Linked DNA regions of Callithrix jacchus. The protein of the gene in region 1 purifies or fractionates together with the protein of each later gene. This does not show direct contact. Links are inferred from orthologs where the notes say so. Each region holds a gene or a part of one and is shown in the gene's direction. Other genes may lie near its edges.

The links. Proteins that work in one complex are often made in the same cells at the same time.
Region 2: the proteins of WWP1 (region 1) and RNF11 purify together in Homo sapiens (affinity purification with mass spectrometry; 3 studies listed by BioGRID, with this or other methods). This does not show direct contact. The link is inferred for Callithrix jacchus from reciprocal best matches to the Homo sapiens genes WWP1 and RNF11.
Region 3: the proteins of WWP1 (region 1) and SPART purify together in Homo sapiens (affinity purification with mass spectrometry; 5 studies listed by BioGRID and IntAct, counting the BioPlex papers as one, with this or other methods). This does not show direct contact. The link is inferred for Callithrix jacchus from reciprocal best matches to the Homo sapiens genes WWP1 and SPART.

Annotation. Positions count from the first base shown.
Region 1 is NC_133517.1:40,617,779-40,624,559, reverse strand, and holds the end of WWP1 (NEDD4-like E3 ubiquitin-protein ligase WWP1), read left to right. Parts: intron 1-3,525; coding exon 3,526-3,625; 3' UTR 3,626-5,118; downstream 5,119-6,781. UniProt on the Homo sapiens protein: E3 ubiquitin-protein ligase which accepts ubiquitin from an E2 ubiquitin-conjugating enzyme in the form of a thioester and then directly transfers the ubiquitin to targeted substrates.
Region 2 is NC_133508.1:88,114,377-88,121,163, forward strand, and holds the start of RNF11 (RING finger protein 11), read left to right. Parts: upstream 1-2,265; 5' UTR 2,266-2,726; coding exon 2,727-2,849; intron 2,850-3,287; exon of another isoform or gene 3,288-3,374; intron 3,375-6,787. UniProt on the Homo sapiens protein: Essential component of a ubiquitin-editing protein complex, comprising also TNFAIP3, ITCH and TAX1BP1, that ensures the transient nature of inflammatory signaling pathways. Promotes the association of TNFAIP3 to RIPK1 after TNF stimulation.
Region 3 is NC_133506.1:155,586,844-155,593,630, reverse strand, and holds the start of SPART (spartin), read left to right. Parts: upstream 1-2,540; 5' UTR 2,541-2,697; coding exon 2,698-2,710; exon of another isoform or gene 2,711-2,723; intron 2,724-3,786; exon of another isoform or gene 3,787-3,841; intron 3,842-6,787. UniProt on the Homo sapiens protein: Lipophagy receptor that plays an important role in lipid droplet (LD) turnover in motor neurons.

The DNA of each region.
Region 1 (6,781 bases):
AAGTGGCACAACACAGCTCACTGCAGCCTCAACCTCCTGGGTTCAAGCAATCCTCCTGCCATAACCTCCTCAGTACCTGGGGCAACCAGTGTACACCACTATGCCTGGCTAATTTTTAAATTTTTTGTAGGGATAAAGTCTTGTGATGTTGTCCCAGGTGAGTCTTAAACTCTGGACTCAAGTTATCCTCCTGCCTTGGCCTCTGAAAGTGCTGGGATTATAGGCATGAGCCACCACTCCCAGCTGAGGTTGACAATATGTTTAAGAGTGAAAAGGGGTCCTGTGACCAAAATTTGAAGACCTCTGGCTTCAGTTAAAGTGGTGGATCCAGTATGTACACATATGTATGTCTGTGTGTGTGTGTGTGTGTGTGTGTGTGTGTGTGTTGAGAGTGATATTTTTGTGGCAAGGGGAAGAGTTAAAATAGATTTCAAATTTTGTGAAAAGAAAGTAATTACCACCCATTGATTTCTGTTTTCTCAGAGTATAAGGAGAAGTCAGTCACTGGCTAAGAGTGAAGAAAGGAAAAACTTTTGAAAGAAAAGAAGGAATTGGGAGAATTGTTAGAGAATAGGAACATATTGATTAGAGGAACATGGCTAAGATTGCTAGGCAAAATTGGATTGTGCACTTGGATTAGAAGTACATTTGAAGTGACAACCTACTTGAATGCATGATTTCTGCCCCCCCCCCCCCGCCCCCAGCAATTTTCAGTTGTTAAGGTGAAAGGAACAAGAAAGCTGAAGGTTGGGTTCATCAGAATTTCAGTTGATTAGTTCATTCAAAAGAGGGAGAGGTGTGAGATTTAAAAGTATTTGTAAGATGGGTGATGTGGCTCACGCCTGTAATCCCTTTGGGAGGCTGATGTGGTCAGATCCCAGGAGTTCGAGACCAGCGTGACCAATGTGGGAAAACACAATCTCTACTAAAAGTACAAAAAAGTAGCTGGGCATGGCAGTGCATGCCTGTAATCCCAGCTACTCAGGAGGCTGAGGCAGGAGATTCACTTCAACCCCAGAGACTGAGGTTGCAGTGAGCCGAGATTGCGCCACTGCACTCCATCCAGCCTGGGATACAGAGCTAGATTCTGTCTCTGTATAATAAATGAAAATAAATGAAAAATAAAATTATTTGCAGATACTTTTATAAATACAAATGAAATACAAATACATTATAATGTATAATGATGGCCCACGATTTCTAAAGTAATTATAGTGATGGGCTGTAGATAAAGCAAAAAGAGAGAACAAGAGGCTGAGGACAGGACGGGATAGGATGATGAAGTCATGGGTCAACAGGCTGGCATTTTAATTGAAATAAACTGGAAAGACATGGTAAGAGAACAGGATTTTTAAATTAGAAACTTCCTTTACTGGTGATGGCAGGGTTCAAGGTATAGTCTTGGAGTCAGTGACTGAAGAAAGCAGAATCGATTTTAGCATGTCTCTGTCTTTTTGTAAAACAGCACAAAACATAATAGCCAGTGTTTTAAAACAGAAGCCTGTTTTGGATGTTTTCAAGTAACCCACTTTCATGCTTTTCAACTCAACATTTATTAAATATCAACCCTATGTGAAACAGATCATCCTTATGAGAGTACAGAGATGACTGCCCTTGTGAATTTTAGAATCTGATGGGAGAAACCAATCAGTCCTAATCCAGAGTAGATTAAAATAGATGTTAAAACAGAAATAAAGGGAGCCTATGGATAGGGATATTATCCGTGTAAGATGTTTAAAGAGGAAGTTGTAGCATTTGGTCTGGTTCTTGATGAAAAGTGTATTCTAGACCATAGAGAGCAGGGTTACAGAGAAGCAAGATGTGTGGTATGCTCGGGAGAGCATGGACCAAGTTGATGGTAAAGAGTATAAGCTTCCTTTCCCCACCACAGTCCCCTCTCAACCCATGGCAACTCAAAAGCAGCAAAGGTTTTTGAAGAGTGGCATAAACTGGTATCTATGTCTTTTTAGCAAAAAGTAAAAAAGAAACAAAACAAAATGGACTCACAGTTAAGTAGCCAGGAAATTCTCTGATGGTCCAGGTAAGAGATGATGGGGAAGTATGTACAGAGGGATGTAGTGGTAGTAGAAATGATCAGGAGGAGCCTGGGCAACATAGCAAAGCTTCATCTCTACAAAATGGCCATGGTAGCATGTGCCCGTACTCCCAGCTAGTCTGGGGGCTGAGGTGGGAGGATTACTTGAGCCTGGGAGGTTGAGTTGCAGTGAACCGAGACAGTGCCACTGCACCCTAGCTTAGGTGACAGACCCAGACCCTGTCTCTAAATAAATAACCAGGAGAAAATATGGAGTATATGATAGATAGAATGACAGAATTTGGCAAAGGCTATATGTGAAAGATGTTAAGAGATCAGAAAGTGACTGGTTGTCCTGTATAGGAAGTATTTTAAAAATATTTTTTTCTGACCTTGCTATCATATTCTACCTTGAAGTATAAAGGGGAGAGCAACATATGGTCTACTTAATTGCTGCTATTAATATCTTTAACTTCTTTTAAAATACAGACAATAATAGTCTTAGAACAACTCTGTTCTAATTAGCTGTCTTGTTTCAAAGGCTCTTAATTTTCAGGTTTCCTCTGACAGGGGAGGCTCAAGGGCACATGGAGTGTGGGAGTGGCAAGAGGGTACCTGGGTAATCTCTAAAAACCTTCCACATGAGAAAATGAGGGTACAGAAAGGTTCTTACTCAGAGCTATCTCATTAGTCACTGCTACTATGAGGACCAAAACCCTGAACATCCAAATCCTAATCTAGCTACTCACTGCTGTACCTCACAAAATGAAATGTTATTCTACCTTTGTAAACTGAAAAATATTGTTATTTTAAGCATTTTTCAGTATTTAAAAATTTTTCATCCCAGAATGGAATTATTTGAGTCTGGCAGGACTGGAAAATATATCATTTTAGAAGTTTTTTATATGTGGTTAGATTATAAAGACAAAGAAACGTATGCATTTGTTCATTGACTGTCTCCACCCCAGAATGTAAATACTACGAAGACAGGGATTTTAGTTTTCTTTATTGTATCACTAGTTTTTAGAACAGTATCTGTTATATAAAGAATCTAGGTAAATAACTGATGAATGAGTGAGTAAGTGGATGAACGAATCCATTAGGATAATGGACTCTTATCCTAAGAGCAGTTAGGAGGACTCATGACACATGTAACAGGAATAGTAAAGAGAAGATTAATGCTTAAAAAGAAAATCCAGTCTTTATCCATATTGCTACACTTAATTCCATTTTTCTCTGGGAGATGTTAAAATCGTTTTTATATGTAAATCTTAAATTTGGATTGCGCTAAGAAACTTAGAAATGTTAATATACCAATTAAGTAATGTTACAGTAGTAAATTGTCTGTTAGAATACTTCCGGCAAAATTTTTACATATATAATATGTATTCACATATCCATTCAGCTTTTCTGTGTGATTTGAAAAATATTCTATTAGAATTTTTTTCATTTTATTGAAAACATCTCATTTTGTTTTTGTTTCTGTTCAGTTTTAATCGCTTGGACCTACCACCATATAAGAGTTATGAACAACTAAAGGAAAAACTTCTCTTTGCAATAGAAGAGACAGAGGGATTTGGACAAGAATGAATGTGGCTTCTTATTTTGGAGGAGCTCTTGCATTTAAATACCCCAGACAAGAAAAATTGCACAGATAGTGTATATAAGCTGTTCATTCTGTACAGTGAATTTTTCAAACCTCTCAAAAGTATGTTTTCCGTTCTTCCACAGAAATATGCAAAACAGTTCATCCTTTTCTACTTTATTTATTGTTCCCTTGAAATGACTGACCAGGAAAAAGATCATCCTTACATTTTGAAGCAAGTGAGAGACTTTATTAAAAATACGTATATATCTATATAACCATATATGATAGTGGCTCTAGTTTTATAGAGCTCCAAGTGTATTAAACATGACAGCCGTTCATTCATAAAGATCTGAATTTGCTTTATCTTGTTAATATTATCTAGGGGAAAAAGTGCAAATTGCTCCATGTTCTTCTCTCCCTTATGTAACATCTGAGGGTGTTTAGTTGCATGGCTATTCAGGAAGGTATTAAGGGCTTAGGCCAAATCTTACTTTGAATATGTTTTTAAAAAAAATGCTGCTGGCTTTTCTGAAGATAGGTGCTTGAACCTGTCAGATTGTTTTAAATAAATACAATAGTTGAAAATTTTTCCCTATTACATCAGTAATATTGTAAAAGCAACGGATAAAACCGTAACTTACACATGAAACTCATATACTAGATCCAATACTATTTAGTTTATTACCGAAATTGGAAGGATTCATTGAGCAGCATAGAAGTCTGTTTACATGTTATTTTGGGATGCTAGGTATTTGTGGAATTAAAAAGAATCAGGCACTTTTGTACTTTGTTTTAAAATCTGTGTTCTTCAAAATTTAATTCATAATAAATTGATGCAATTTCATACTTAGGAACACATAAAAGGTAATTTGAACTCTGCCACTTTTTTTGTGTTCAAAGTTTTGGTTTTATAAAGCCAGATGGATTGAAGAGTTACATAAACATTTGAATGCTCTAACAAATATGAGGCTAATGATTTTCTGTTAGTGTTTGAATATCTTCATTCCTCTCAAATTCGTAACAGCTCTATTTATCTGAATTAAATAAGCATATAAAAATCTTTTGGGTCTCCCCCTTTTTATATAGATAATTATTTTTGTCCTAAGTAACACTTTTTCATTGTTTTTCATCATAAGGCCTTTGCTGAGTTAGAATAATGTGTAACAAATTAAAATCTGATGTTAATGATATTAGTGCCATTTTTAGCAAACTGGGCTTCCTAATACAAAACTTTAAATTTCCATTTGTATCACACTTTTAATATGCACTGTAAATTTCATTAACTTAAACATTTTTTATAGCCATGGAACTGACTTCTTAGAATGTGTTGCCTATAAATATATCACTGCTAAGTATATACAGAAAAAAACTAGTATACATGTTACCTTCCATAAACAGTGTTGTTTTGCCAAAATTTTATTTTTCTACATATTAATCAAGAGTGTGTTCTGTATTTTATTCAGAATTCATAGTAAAGGTGAAAGAAAGGCAGTAATCTGCTTGGTGAATAGACTCCTTTTCCAAATCCTAATTGCAGACACTCTGGTTATTTTCAAGCCTAAAAAATTAAAAAAAAATTCTAAGGTATAAGACAGCTTATGTGATAGAGAGTTAACTGGTCTTAAAAAAGGACTGCCTTAATTATACCATAAACAATTAAGTATTAGAATTACAAATGGTACCACTGCTGTATAAATTTTGCTATGACAGAAGTTATTGACTGTCATTCACTGGAGGTATGATTTAGCAGATTTGACTGAAGAAGATGGCATTCCAGTTGGTTTTCAGGGTACTGGTCTCCCTCCTCAAGAAATTAAGATTCACCAGGTGAGGCTACACAGAGCTTTACAAGAGACCAAACCAGCTTTATTTTGGAGAATTCATAATTCATCAGGGTCATCCAGTTTTCACACCCAATTATAGATATCCAAGACCTATATACAGGCAGAGCTGTCTTGATTTATCTATCTAGTAGCAGTCAGAAAAACTGTAGAAATAATGGTCCCGCGCTCACCTTCTCTATTTTCTCCTTTCCCTTTTCTCCCTTCACTTTCTCTACTTTCTCCCTTCTGTGCTGGATCAACCAGAAAGAAATTAAAAGTGCAAGATTCTCTGTGACCAAAACACAGTTCATGAGGAAACAGACAAGAGAGGGAGGCTCAGAGACAGGTTTATATTGCTACTTCATTTGGGTGGCTCCCCTGCCCCCACCACCAGTAAATGGCCCAGGGAATGGATTACAGGCCCAACACCATTCTATTAGATCAGTTTAATTGTTTGTCTTCCAGGGAAAGTAGCTTACCCGTGTTTTGGGGTTTTTTTCCCTCTATACTTCCCACGTAGTTGAAAATGAAAAGGTTAAAATCTTCTCCCCTGATGACTTCTGTTATCTAGCTCTTCCTATCCTGAAAACTAAATAGGAGGATGGTACGTGTCAACTGTATTGCCAGGCAACTTTGCTTCTGGTAAACACGACCGCTGACTGGTAAGTTTTATCTGGACTGGGAAATCTCCAGATACATGATAGAAAGCCATAGCTTTGGGCATACCTGAGTGGAAAACTTCTACACTGGATGCCCTTTAAAGAGTACCCTGAGCTGTTACCTGGGGAGATGACAGTCCTAGGAAACTTTCATCTCCTAGGAGATACCGTTGCATAGACTGCTATTAGGAAACCGTCTTCTGAAAGGAGGTTCAAAATTGCCCTGCTGGCGAGCTGCTTTTCCTGTCCTATAGCCTTCTGAGTAAAGTGGTGCCAAATATAGCCTACTGTAGGCTTGTTAAGTCTGAATGTTTGTTTGGTTGAACCTAAAAAGACTTGGTGGATGTTGCAGACGTAAAATCTTCCTTTTTTGAAATAACACAAACTACAATTCTCCTGTAACACTTAATTAGTTAACCTTAAAAGCCAAACTTTAGGTCAACTGGGGATTTGATCTAAATCCAAAACTGACATCCCCTAAATTCCAAAATTTCTCTCCTCAATTCTCAACCAAGAACAAAATCAGAGGTAACAGAAGTTATCTCATGGTAAATCCGTTACATAAATTATTCTCTTATTCCTTACAACTCCATGAAATTGGTGGGTTATTTCTTTAATGATGCTTATTTTATAGATGAGGAAAGTATGAAAGAAGTCATTTTTACAACATCCACAG
Region 2 (6,787 bases), on another chromosome or scaffold:
TCTCAGCTCACTGCACTGCAACCTCCACCTCCACGGTTCAAGCTATCTGGCTGCCTCAGTCTCCCAAGTAGCTGGGACTACAGGCATGCACCACCACACCTGGCTAGTTTTTATATTTTTAGTAGAGATGGGGTTTCAACATCTTGGCCAGCCTGGTCTCGAACCCCTGACCTCAAGTAATCTGCCCACCCTCGACCTCCCTAAGTGCTGGGATTACAGACATGAGCTGCCATGCCCGGCCCAAAAATTATAAGTCTTTTCAAAAATTTTATATCAAAAAGGTGATATTTAGTATTGAATTTCAGTGCATTTAAATAAGAAAGTGACTTCATAGAATAGAGACTGCAGAGTAAGAGTGCTCAGACCCATAAGGGTTTAATATAGCCCTACCTCTAAGAATTCTTTCTGTTCCTCACCCAAATGAACTAATCGCTGTCTACTGGTTCCTCTAAAAACCTTGGGGGCCGTGGCAGGGTGTGGATTTATGACTAATCTTATTACTTGTCTTCCCAGGTGGTCTCTGGGTTCTATCAGGAACAATCCAGGTGTGATCATTATTTTCCCCAGTGCTTAGCGTGGAGTCTGGTATGCACATGCACACGCAAAGTCAGTAAATGGTGAATAAAACGAAAGGCAGTCAAGATCCACCTGCTGAATGAAGGTCTATCAGTAGCACTGTCATCCTTCTTGCTTCCTTCTTTTGCATATGTTGTTTGAGCTGTTCATTCAACCAAGGAGAGAGCATACTCTACCTTGGGCAGTGTGCCAGCCTTGCACAGAGGGACAGATGATTCAGCTTGATCAGGCTGTGACAGAGAAAAGCTCAGGGTCTGAGAACGCAGAGGAAGCGACTAACTCAGACTGGAGGGTAAGGTGAGGCTCCCCAGGGGAAATGAAGTTGTGTCCGCCCAAGAAGCAGAAAGTTTGGGATTGGGGAGAAGTTGGTTTCTGTGAGAGAAACAAAGGCCCCAGGCAGAGCCAATAGTCTTCCAGATAACGAACATCACTTTAGAGAGCCGAGTTTAGAATTTGTGAAGGAGGGGACAATGCTGCTAATGCTCATAGGTGGGTGATGAAAAATGAGAACACATGGACACAGAAAGGGGAGTACTAAACACTGGGGTCTATTGGGGGGAAAAGGGGAGGGCTAGTGGGAGGGGGAGGTGGGGAGGGATAGCCTGGGGAGAAATGCCAAATGTGGGTGAAGGGGAGAAGAAAAGCAAAGCACACTGCCATGTGTGTACCTATGCAACTGTCTTGCATGCTCTGCTCATGTACCCCAAAACCTATAATCCAATAAAAAATTAAAAAAAAAAAAAAAAAGAAAAGAAAAGGGAGTCGGATTTGTAAACCCCTCTGCCTTCCGGGTTCAAGCGATTCTCCTGCCTCAGCCTCCCGAGTAGCTGGGACTACAGGCGCGCGCCACCATGCCCGGCTATTTTTTTGCATTTTTAGTGGAGACGGTGTTTCACTGCGTTAGCCAGGATGGTCTCTATCTCCTGACCTCATGATCCGCCCGCCTCTGCCTCCCAAAGTTTGTGATCACAGGCTTGAGGCACCGTGTCCTGCTTAAGGATTGTTTTAAGGACAGCCTTGAGGAGACATTGAAGGTTTTAACAGGAGAATAACATGATCCAATTTAAATTTTAAAAAGATAACTCTCAACTCTGCAAACAGTGGATTGGATGTGGGCAATGATCAACTCAGGAGCAGCTGAGAGTCTACTGCAGAAGAGTGGGTGAGGGATGATGGTGGCTTGGACTTCGGTGCTTGGACTGGAAAGAAATGGAACAATCTAATACACAACTGGAAGAAGAATCTCTCTGGCTGTGATGTGGGAGGATAAGGAAGTGATTGGAGCGGTAAGGAGGGTTCATTAACGAGCTAGGACTTTATTTTGAAGGGATAAAGGGGACGACTTTTAATATTTTAATCTTGGGACTGATTCATTCCGATATGGGTTTATATAAATAGACCGCTTGTCAAAGGGTACTGAGAAGACTGTCAGACACTGCACAGGTAAGAACTGAGACCCAGACCGGGCGGGCGCAGTGTATGTGGTGAGGTGCCGGAGATGGGAGATTGGTTTCGGGGACGGGTACGGAGCCAAGCAGTCAGAGAGAAGCGAAAATTGACGCAGCCCCAGGAACAGCTGCTGGGGGCGGAGGGGGATGGGAGCCGCCGGAGCCACCCTCGCCCCCTGGCGCCGGGGGCGGGACTAGAGCACGCACGGCGCGATGACGTAGGGTCTGAGCCTGCCTCGTTGTGGTTGCTGCCGCCGCGCTGAGGCGGAGTAGGATGAGGCCCGCGGCCGTGGCTCCGGCGTCGGCGGGGGCAGCAGCAGCTGAGGCAGCAGCTGAGGCAGCCGCGACGGCCGCGCCCCCCCCTCCTGACCTGGATTAGGCCCAGCAGCTCCGTGGCCGCCGCCGCCCCGCGGGGGGGCGGGGTGGGGAAGTGCTTCGTCTCCCCGCCCCCCCCCCCATCGCCGCCTCGCAGGAGGCAACCGCCGCGACCCCAGCGGAGCCCGCGGCCCAGCCTTGAGCCCCCACCTCCGGGGGCTGGCATGAGCGGCCCCTCGGCGGCACCGCGGGGCGGTGGAATCACCTGCGCCTGATCCCCGGCCTGCCGCCCGACCCCACCTCGCCGACCGAGGCTGACCGCGGAGCTTGCGAACGACCCCACCGCTGCTTTATCCTCCCCCAGATCACGCACCGCAGCTCCGGAAGATGGGGAACTGCCTCAAATCCCCCACCTCGGATGACATCTCCCTCCTTCACGAGTCTCAGTCCGACCGGGCTAGCTTTGGTGAGGGAACGGAGCCGGATCAGGAGCCGCCGCCGCCATATCAGGTAGGGGAGGGTGTGTGTTGGAGGGAGCGAGGAGTAGAGGCAGCTCTGGCTGAGACTGTGGGGGCTTCGGGCGGTCTCTGCCCCTGGCTTCGGCAAGGCCTGGCCTGGGCGGCATTGACCCCCTTAGGGCTGGATCTGAGGACATTTGCTCTCTGTTCGCAGAATAGGGTTGGTTCTTCGCCTCCCCTCGGGCACCGTGTGGGGATGGTACCCTCTGCCCTTGAGTTCTGGGATCAGAGAACGTGATCACATCCCCTAGGCCAGTGTCTGGTGGTTCGCTTGTGGAGTTTGGGAGTGACATTTTCCTGCCTTTATGTCTGAATCGTGTGATTTCCTCGTCGCACCGCCAACTGGATTATGGGTTCTGGATAGGTGGTTGCCAAGCACTACCCCCCCACCCCGCCCCATTTATGTTTTCATGTGTGGTCATCCTCTTACCCCCTCCTTCGTCTTTGTTAATTGGATCTGGCAGGTCTTCATTTCTCCCTCAGCTTCGGAGACGGATCTCCAAGTGATTTTAGCCCTAGCGACATCAGGCTACTTGTTTATATATATATACATGTATATAAATTTTAATCCCTCCTCCTTTTGCTCCACCCATATGACACACCTTTTAAACGTGCTGACTTAAGAAAACTTGATTAGCTTGAACTTTGGAAACCTTTAAACCTGACGGGAAATTCCTTCGGTTACTCGTGGTGTTCTCCCTTTGTATCAAAGACTCCTAAATAGATTTTACTGCTTTTTGTACAACAATCATTAGTCCCAGATGTGTTACAGAATTAGAATGACTAATTCTTAAACTCAAAATAGGTATGTGGATGTTTAATCCATAATATATATGTAAAAACATTTCCTGTACTTTTTTCATTTTAGATGATATTGAATACAATCTTTCAGAGGGCTTCAGTAGTAGTACTTAATTTTTTCCTGAAGAGTTTAGTTTTCTGACTGGGCATTCTCCTTTGTTTCATGTGGTGACATCATTACCTAGTGTTTTCTCATTCCTGTGTAAACCAGTGTCTCGTCACACCAGAAAAACCTGATCATATATGCCGATTTTCTGAATATAATTCTTCTGGGGCATTTCATGTATACCAGTAAAGTCCAGTCTTGATTGTGGCATACAGAAGCCTCCATGGCTTCTCTCTATTACGTTCTAGATTCTAGGCCTACCAAATACACCAGGCTCTTCACACCTTTGTTTTGCTTCAGTTGCTCTCTGCTTGGAGCCCTTCCCCCAGGTCAACCAGGTGGACATCTAATCCTCTTTGAGAACTCAAGCTTTTGTGTCTGAAGTCCCAGCATTCCCTTCCCTCCCAGCCCGAATCCCTTGTTTGTGTCCCCACTGAAACCACTACACTTCCATAAGTAATATCTATAACACTTTAATGTTCTATCTTTGTGAGATGTGTGTCTCATTTTTGTATTCGCCTTTTTCAGTGCAAGCTGCGTGAAGGTAGGGAATCTGTTTCTGGTTTGCTGTTGTATCCCTTACATCTGCCTCAGTAGGTAGTAACTGGGAGATAAATGATGAGTAAAAGCCCTTGAAAACAGGGACTCTTCCCCTCACTCAATTTCTGGCACATAAGCACCTAACTGAATGGATTAATGACGTTGAATTCAGTATTTTCTGTATTTACACAACTATTTTTTCCAAAGTACAATGTCACAAGGATAGTCTCAAGAAAGCTTAATCTGGGCCGGATACAGTGGCTCATGCCTGTAATCTCAGCACTTTGGGAGGCGGAGGCCGGAGGATCACCTGAGGTCGGGAGTTTAAGGCCAGCCTGACCAAATGGAGAAACCCAGTCTCTACTAAAAATACAAAATTAGCTGGGCATGGTGGCACATGCCTGTAATCCCAGCTACTTGGGAGGCTGAGGCAGGAGAATCGCTTGAACCTGGGAGGTGGAGGTTGCAGTGAGCCAAGATTGCCCCACTGCACTCCAGCCTGGGCAACAAAGAGCGAAACTTTGTCTCAAAAAAAAGCTGAAGCTGGATGTCTTTACAAGTACCTTTGAGTGAAGCAAGCAAGCTGTGTTTATATTTCACTCTCTTTCCCTCCCTTATTTACTATACAACAAAAGTGGTTATTTCCTTTTTTTTTCTTTTTGAGATGGAGTCTTGTTAATGTTGCCCAGGCTAGAGTGCAGTGGCATGATCTTGGCTCACCACAGCCTCTACCTCCTGGGTTCAGGCAATTCTGCCTTAGCCTCCCAGGTAGCTGGGATTACCGGCATGTGACACCATGCCCTGCTAATTTTGTATTTTTAGTACAAATGGAGTTTCTCCTTGTTGGTCAGGCTGGTCTCAAACTCCCAACCTCAGGTGATCCATCTCGGTCTCCCAAAGTTTTGGGATTACAGGCATGAACCACCACACCTGGTCACGTCGAGACACAATTTCACCATGGTCAGGCTGGTGTTGAACTCCTGACCTCAAATAGTCCACCTGCTTTGGCCTCCCAAATTGCTGGGATTACAGGTGTGTGCCACCGAATCTGGCCTGAAGTTTTTATTTTAAATCTCTTACGCTCCCTACCCTCACCTGCTTCTCTTTTTAAAAAAATTAGAGACAGGGTCTCCTATGTTACTCATAGGCCTGTCTTTAACACAGCAGCCACTTATTCTGCTAAACCTGAACATGACATCTGCCCAACCCTCTGTGGATCTTTGTTTCATTCAAAGTAAAAACTCGGCCTTAAGCAGTTCTCCTGCTTCCTATCCCCTTTGTTTCCAGGCAAATTGAATATCGTTGGCTTGTTCTCTTTCTCCTATCCTTATGATAATTGTAGTATTAAAAGTACTAAAGTTTATGGAAACTGTGTTTGCCTTTTCCAGAAGGAGTAGATGATGATGAGAGATGAGGGGTTTTTGGTGTCAAGAGGGAACTTTTTTTTGGAAATGTTAGATTTTTGACAGTGGGAGGTTTTTGTTTGTTTTGAGACAGAGCCTCACTCTGTCATCCATGCTGGAGTGCAGTGGTGCGATTTTGGTTCACTACAACCTCCGCTCCTGGGTTCAAGTGATTCTCCTGCCTCAGCCTCCCAAGTAGCTGGGATTACATGCCCAGCTAATTTTTTGTATTTTTAGTAGAGATGGGGTTTTGCCATGTTGACCAGACTGGTCTTGAACTCTTGGCTTCAAGCAGTCTGCCCACCTTGGCCTCCCAAAGTGCTAGGATTGCAGGTGTGAGCCACCGTGCCTGGCTGACAGTGGCAGTTTTTTACAGTTGCATTTTCCTGAAATGAATGACACAGACTAATATACAAATTCAGTATCAATTGGAAGAAAATTACTTTAAAAGCATAAAAGAAACTTTTGTAGAAAAAGTATTGTCCTCATCCCGAAAGAAATAAGATCTGTTTTACGAATGGTTATTTTAAATGATCTGAGAAACATTAATCCAAGGTTATTTATTCATTTGAGTTGGGAATCTCCCTCTGTCATTCAGGCTAGAGTGGATTGCTCACTTGGCAGCTTCAGACTCCTGGCCTCTGGTGATCCTCCTGCCTCAGCCGCCCACAGACTGGGATTACGGATGTGAGCTACCTCACACAACCAATTTATAGTATTTTCAGTTGATAAAAGTAAGTTTTTCAACGAATTGTAGTTAACAGGGAATAGCTAATTGTAAAGGAACAGGTGCTCTTGAGGTGAGTAGTTAAAAGATGTCATTGTTTTCTGCCTTATATTATGTAAAATATGAATATAATGACAAGCGCCAGTTCCAGTTATTTCCTATTGACATCTGACAAATTTGTTTTTATTTATTTTTGCCTAAAAGTAAACCCTGTACCATTACGATCTAAGTTTGTAGGAAGTGCATGTTTCTCTCCTTGGTTTCTTTTGTAGCCTCCTAGCTGGTATCCCTGCTTTCACCCTTGTCCTCGCTAAGGCCTGTCTTCAACACAACAGCCACAGTTATTCTGCTAA
Region 3 (6,787 bases), on another chromosome or scaffold:
ATGGAATAAAAATATGAGTTCAAGAAGAAATGATGTAAAATTTCCTTCTGTTAAAAGCTTGTTCAAGTAGTTTTAAAAATTGATGATGTTATATATTAAATTGGTATTTAGATTCCACTGGCTACATTTAAAAGTTATATCACTTTTATTTTACAATGTTAATTTACAATAAAACAGAAGTTGCCTCTTTTGCAACTATTTAAGTCAGATGAGAAATTTTGATGGTTAACCCAAAAACGTGGAAGGAAGAACAAAGTCACAGTCTTTTGGGATTCCTTTGGTGGTATAAGAGCAAAATCATTTTGAAACCACTGTATTAATAAATTAATATATTAATAAAGGTTTTGCCTTTTGGGATGACTTACTGCTACCTTTTTGAGATTTGAGGGAAGTACCAAATGGCTCCCAGTTTTAAATTTAAAACCCTCTTCCCATCAAATAGTCCCTATAGCTAATTAATCTTAATTGAATCAATCTGATTAATTCATCTGGAATAAGTCACTGAAATCCCTAGGAAAGTCACTTAACTGGTCTTAAGGCCAAGCTCGGTGGCTCATGCCTGTAATCCCAGCACTTTGTGAAACCAAGGCAAGAGGATCACTTGAGGTCAGGAGTTTGAGACCAGCCTGGCCAACTAGAGGTCAAGTGTTGGAGATCAGCATGGCCAACATGGAGAAACCCTGACTCTACTAAAAATACAAAAATTAGATGGGAGTGGTGGTGCACGCCTGGAATTCCAGCTTCTCTGGAGGCTGAGGCACGAGAATCGCTGGAACCTGGGAGGCAGAGGTTGCAGTGAGCCAAGATCATGCCACTGCACTGCAGCCCGGGCAATAGAGTAAGACTGTCATAAAACAAAACACAACCACAACAAAACTGGTCCTAAATGCTCAGGGCAAGTACATACTGCTTTTTCTTTTCTTTTTTTTTTTTCCCTAAGGCAGGCCTATGGAAGAGTTACAAGTCTTTCATCTACAATATTTTACTAATTTAAAAACACTTGTCAAGAGAGGTAAAGTATGTTCATCTTGATTTTTCTCTTTTAGCCTTCCATAATCCTAAATGGTATTGGCACAATTACTTTTGTATCCTGGAGTGAGGAATTAACATTTTTATGATAGTGATAGAGACTTTTAACACACACACACACCCCCCGAGACTTAAAACACGTGATGCAGGCGGGCTTTTGGAAATTATGCTCTGGATACAGAAGTCCCAAAGCGCAGGCTGCAGAGACATTGAGGGGACAGTCAGCCTTTGTCGTCCTTCATGCACTGTGCCCAGCGCTCCCTCTTGCGGCTACAAGCGCTCACTGCCCACACTCGCTTCTAGTCTCTCCCCAGGCCTCGGTTACGCAGGGGAGAAAGAGATTGCGCAGGCGCAGAACGGCCGACGTGGCCGCAGGGGACCTTGTCTGGGGGTCTGCGTGGAGCCGCTGACTCACGAGGTTCCCTCTCGCCTGCCGCCCACGCTCCTTTTCTCTCCCTCCAGAGTGTTACGGTGACTGTTGGGTTCCAAGAGGACGGACGTCCTCCCACGTACCATTTAGAAGGTCAGAGTGGACAGAACCTAGTCTGAGCAGGCTGGTGACGAGTCGGCTGCTAAGACGCGCGCGTGGGCATCTGCGGCGTGACCGCGGCGGCGCGCTCCGGGCTCTGTGGCGGGAGCGAGGCCGACGGGCGGGGCGGCGCAGTCGCGTGACGGGGAGCGCTCGAGAGCGCGCGGCCCGGAACGTCTCGGTGGTCCCGGAGAGCGCGCGCTCGAGGCCTTGGAAACCTCGGGACCCGCCCTCGGCGAGCCCAGTGGCTACGCGTGTGGGGGAGCTCGAGCTGACCCGGGCAGTGGCGGCCGCGCGGGGAGCTCTCGAGGCGACGCCGGGGCGCCCGAGGTCTGGAAGTCGCAGGTGGGGCGGCGGGGAGTTCACCCCTGCGCGGTCCCCTGGGTGGGCGGCGTGAGCACCCCAGGCCCCGCTCACCCCGCGGGGAGGCCGAGCCGGCCAGGGTCGCGGGACGAGGGCGGAGGTGGGTGGGGCCTCATCCAAGTCTCAGGAAGGGAGCGATTTCGTGAGAGAATAGTTTGAGAAGTTGTTCTGCGTCCCCTCCCCCGCCCCAGGGTCGTGTTTAGGGAACCTTCGGTCTCTCCTCCTCGGACTTTTAGGTTGGAGGGAGTCCTTCCCGCCCGCTTTGCGTCGCGGGGTCCTTTGGGAGCCTCGCCATTCATCCTTCTCCCGGCTCCACCCCCGTTGTTTACTTTGAGTTCGCAGATCTCCCAGTTCTTTCGCCCTCCCGCAGCGCCCACTGCAGTGTCGGGTTCGGTAGCCTTTCTCTGCAAGGAGGCCCACGAACAACTGCAGTTACATTGGGAGGGGTTGCGCGTGATTTGACTCTTTACGGTACATCCCTTCCAGTTTCCTAGGGATTGAGCTGCGCGGTGGATGCCTCCGACTTTATTGTGGGCCTGAGAAAAGTTTCTCTTGGAATGCGCAGGTTCGTGACGCGGCGTATTATTGCGTGACTGTAGGGCTGACCCAGTTTTCCTCTAATTGTAAAGAAGTACTCTAGTAATCCACTGAGGATCCTGGAGATTGGCTTTATTGTATTATAGTTTAACGACTTTGCGTGCCAGGTTGTTACGGCGTTGGAAATAATGGCCTCGGATATTTAAGAATGTAGTGGTATTTCTTTGAAATTTCCGAAGATGGAGGAAAAAAGTAATAGAAGACTGTATCCATTTACATATGGAACCGTTTTCTGATTCGCGGGTCTTTATAATCGTAGACTTAATTTGGTGGGTTTATTGGACCTGTTTGAAACGGGAAGCCTTTCTGTAATGCGGCTTCCGGTCGGCTTCACCTGTGCCACTCTCTGAAACGTTGTTGTGCGTGGTTTCCCTAACAGGCTAGAATGAGTGGGATGCTACGGGGAGAGTGCATACAGGCCGTAGACAAAGCCCCCTCAGCTTTTTTGGTAAAAGACCAAATAGGCATTAGGTAAACTTCTGCCATATCTAGGGAGACAAATGCGGTATTATTAAAGACTGCTTTAATGTTGACTGTTATGTGGGAGTGAAGTGAGAGTGTTACTACTTTCAGTGTTTATGGAATCGAACTAAATTGCTAGGTATTTTGATTCAGAATTTTACCTTTGCTCTTGGGTATTTTTTTTTAAGACACACACATACATATAGTTATGTTGAAATAAATGCGTTTTTTGTTTCTTTTATTAGAACGTTAAAAATTAGAATTTAAGTGAACTACTGGTATGCAGGAACAGATTTGGTTTGTTCTCACAGACTGTTACACTATTGTAGGTACAGTTTAATACTTCAGATTGTTTCAAAGACTTTCTCTCCTCATCGAAATCATGTGATAATAGTTTTTATCTTTTCTGGACACTTGACGCTTAATTGTGCTTAGGAATAGAATAGACTTTTTTTTTTTAAGTCACCATCCTATAATCCTTATTTCTGTAAAATGTATTTTGTGAGATTGGAGAGGAGGTAGCAAATCCCAGTCACAAAATAAAAATGTGTTATTTTAATATAAACCTTTTTCTGTGTTGAAATTCCCCAGAGATTAGACTGAAATTGACCATTAGACTTACATGTAACCTCCAGATATCCAGGCTCTTCTCCCTGTGTAACCTTTTTTTCTCTTCAAGATGGAGATGAAGCAAGGAAGGTAATTAAGCAACCCTGTGAATTTAGCCCTCCCACTCCACCCTACACACAGGCACACTCTTCTTTCTCAGTAGCCATCTTGTTTCCTCCCTTGACACATTGTTTAAGAAATCTTTCATCACACTGTATGTAAAAGAAGCTTAGAAGTAAAGGTATACCCAAGGTAAATATTGCTTCTAGCTGTATTCCTTCATTATGTTTTGCTTCTACTTTCAAATGCTACCTATTGAAGACTTAAGCCACATAACTATCTACCATGGGTCACTCTGGGTTTTCTTTAACCCTCCCTCACTCTGCTGACTTGTAAACATAGTAGGAGTTTTAGCTTTGGAATCAAATATAGCTTATCTAATTTTCATTTTCCTTTTTTTTTTTTTTTTTTTCTTTAAAGAGACAAGTTCTTGCTCTGTCACCCAGGCTGGCTGGAGTGCAGTAGTACAATCCTAGCTCACTGCAACCTTGAACTTGTGGGCCCAAGCTATCCTCTGGCCTTAGCCTCTGCAGTAGCTGGGATTACAGGCGAGAGCTCATTTAATTTTCTCGACACATCATTTTCTGATCCATGAACTGATTTGAGTTTATTATTTACTAGCTTTGTCTTAGGCAAACGGCTCATATTTATAAAACATTTTTAAAATCAAATAGCCTCCAAGAGTGAAGATTCGATAATCTTAGAAGGGTTCCAGACACGTACAGAGAGAGCTTAACAAAAGAGAGTAAATTTTGGTGCTTCTGAGAGCCAGAGACAGACCATGTCCATTGTATCTTTGCCATGTATTACAGTATGAGCGGTTTTTAAAGCAGTACTTTTAATTTGCTTGTGAACCCCCAAATAATTTTTGTAAAGCTGTCCCTCTTGCACACTTTTGGTTAACTTACAGCATTTTACATCATGCTTTAGTTGAAAAGGATGCAATTTTCCACATGGTATTGCTATTGACATTTTAATATAATGCTGGTACATCATTCTTTTAGCTGTATTCAGTGGAGTATCATATCTTTGTAGTTTTAGATATATCACCATCAATTTTTAAAATACATTCTATTTTACAAACTTCCTTCTTGCTTTTTTTATCACCCCCATCCCACAGAGTATTATCTTAAGGTAATGTATTTTTATGCTTGAAAGCTTTTTATTAATTTCTGTCATACATGTCTTTGTAATTTGAACTTTTATAAATTGAACTAAGTTTAAAACTGTTCCTATAATTCTATAAGTTGTAATTTTCTTTTGGATTGAATTATTATAAATAGTAACAGTTGATCAGAATAGCATAAATACCTGATGGATTTTAATGAATAATAATTAAGAGTAGAAGTTGACTGGAAATCTGTGTCTTAATGGAATAGATAGTGGGAGTTGTGTCTAAATTAAAGGAGGGTCTTTGAGCCCGTTGACTTCTTTTTTGTTGGTAGGGAGGCTTTTCCATCCTGGGGCAGTGTGTCATAGTAAGAATGGAAGTGGGTGAGAAGTATGTCTTTATTTTGTAAAGCGGAAGGATTGCGAAAGGATCTCAGGGAAGAAGAACCAGCATGATAACTGGACAGTGGGCATGTTCTCAGGCAGATTAGTTTAGTGAGGAATACTAATGGAAGTAAAGGATCTGGAAGCCTTTTCTTTTTTCTTTTTTAAACTACATGCATGCTGTTAGTGTATGTCCCGTGGAAGACTTTATTTGTCCTGGGGGACACACATCTTCCAGTTTGAAGACCATTTAGAGTGGTGATTCTCAGTGGGGGACGATTTTGCTGCCTAAGGTACATTTGGCAATGTCTGGAGACATTTTTGGTTGTCACAGCTGGGGTGGGGGAGGGGTGCTGCTACGGGCATCCAGTGGACAGAGCTCAGGGATGCCACTGACAAAGAATTAATTATCCAACCCAAAATGTCAACCGTGCCAAGATTGAGAAACTCTGATTTAGAGAATTTGTTTTGGAATCAGACTATTTAATTCCGTAATCTAGTGCAGGGTCAGTAAACTTCTTTTGTTAAGTGCCTGATAGTAAATATTTTAGGCTTTTGGGGGCCATATATGATCTCTGTTGCACATTATTCTTTGTTTTTATAACTTTTTTTTTTTTTTATGAGATGGAGTTTCACTCTTGTTACCCAGGCAGGAGTGCAATGGCGCGATCTCGGCTCACCGCAACCTCCACCTCCTAAGTTCAGGCAATTCTCCTGCCTCGGCCTCCTGAGTAGCTGGGATTACAGGCACACGCCACCATGCCCAGCTAATTTTTTGTATTTCTAGTAGAGACGGGGTTTCACCATGTTGACCAGGATGGTCTCGATCTCTTGACCTCGTGATCCACCCGCCTCGGCCTCCCAAAGTGCTGGGATTACAGGTGTGAGCCACCGCACCCAGCTGTTTTTATAACCTTTAAACAATGTAAAAGTAATTCTTATCTCCAGGGTCTTTCAAAAAACAGGTGATCTATGGCAATTAATGCTTTCAAACCTCAATTTTCTTCTCTGCAAAGTAGTACTAATAGTAATACTACTTCAAGAATTGTTTGTAAGGATTGCGATAAACACCTAGCGTACTGTCCAGCATATGTTAAGTGCTCTAAATGATGTGTGGGGATAGTGGTGTCCTGTAGTATTTTGCACAAAAGTGGGTGCCAAGTCACAGTGTTGTTCAAGATCCTGTTCAAGTCACTTGGACAAACTTAATGATGGCTGGCAAAGTTCCCAGTCAACTCTGAGAAGCCTATTTGACCTCTGCTGTCTTTCTGCTGTCTTACTCTGAGTCTCCTTGTATCCTGAAGAAGTTGGAATACAAAATACCTGTCCTGTGGTTTCTTTGGAAAAATGTGGCAATCTTGCGACACAACAGGATAGCATTCCAGGAAAAGAGATTGATAATTTTGATAGGGATGGTGGGGCAGAGCAAAAAGGTGGGTTTATGTATGGTCTCTTGTATATGGTGTTTTCTGACTGGGTACTGAATATATTCTGTCACTACCATGAAGTTGTTGCACGATATGGCCGACTAGTGGTTTATTTTTCAGGCTGGAAAGTATTGCTATATTATTACTAAATGGAAGCTAGAACACAGCTTCTGTGATGCTTCATAGTGTAGAATGCTGCTAAAATAGTCTCATATCA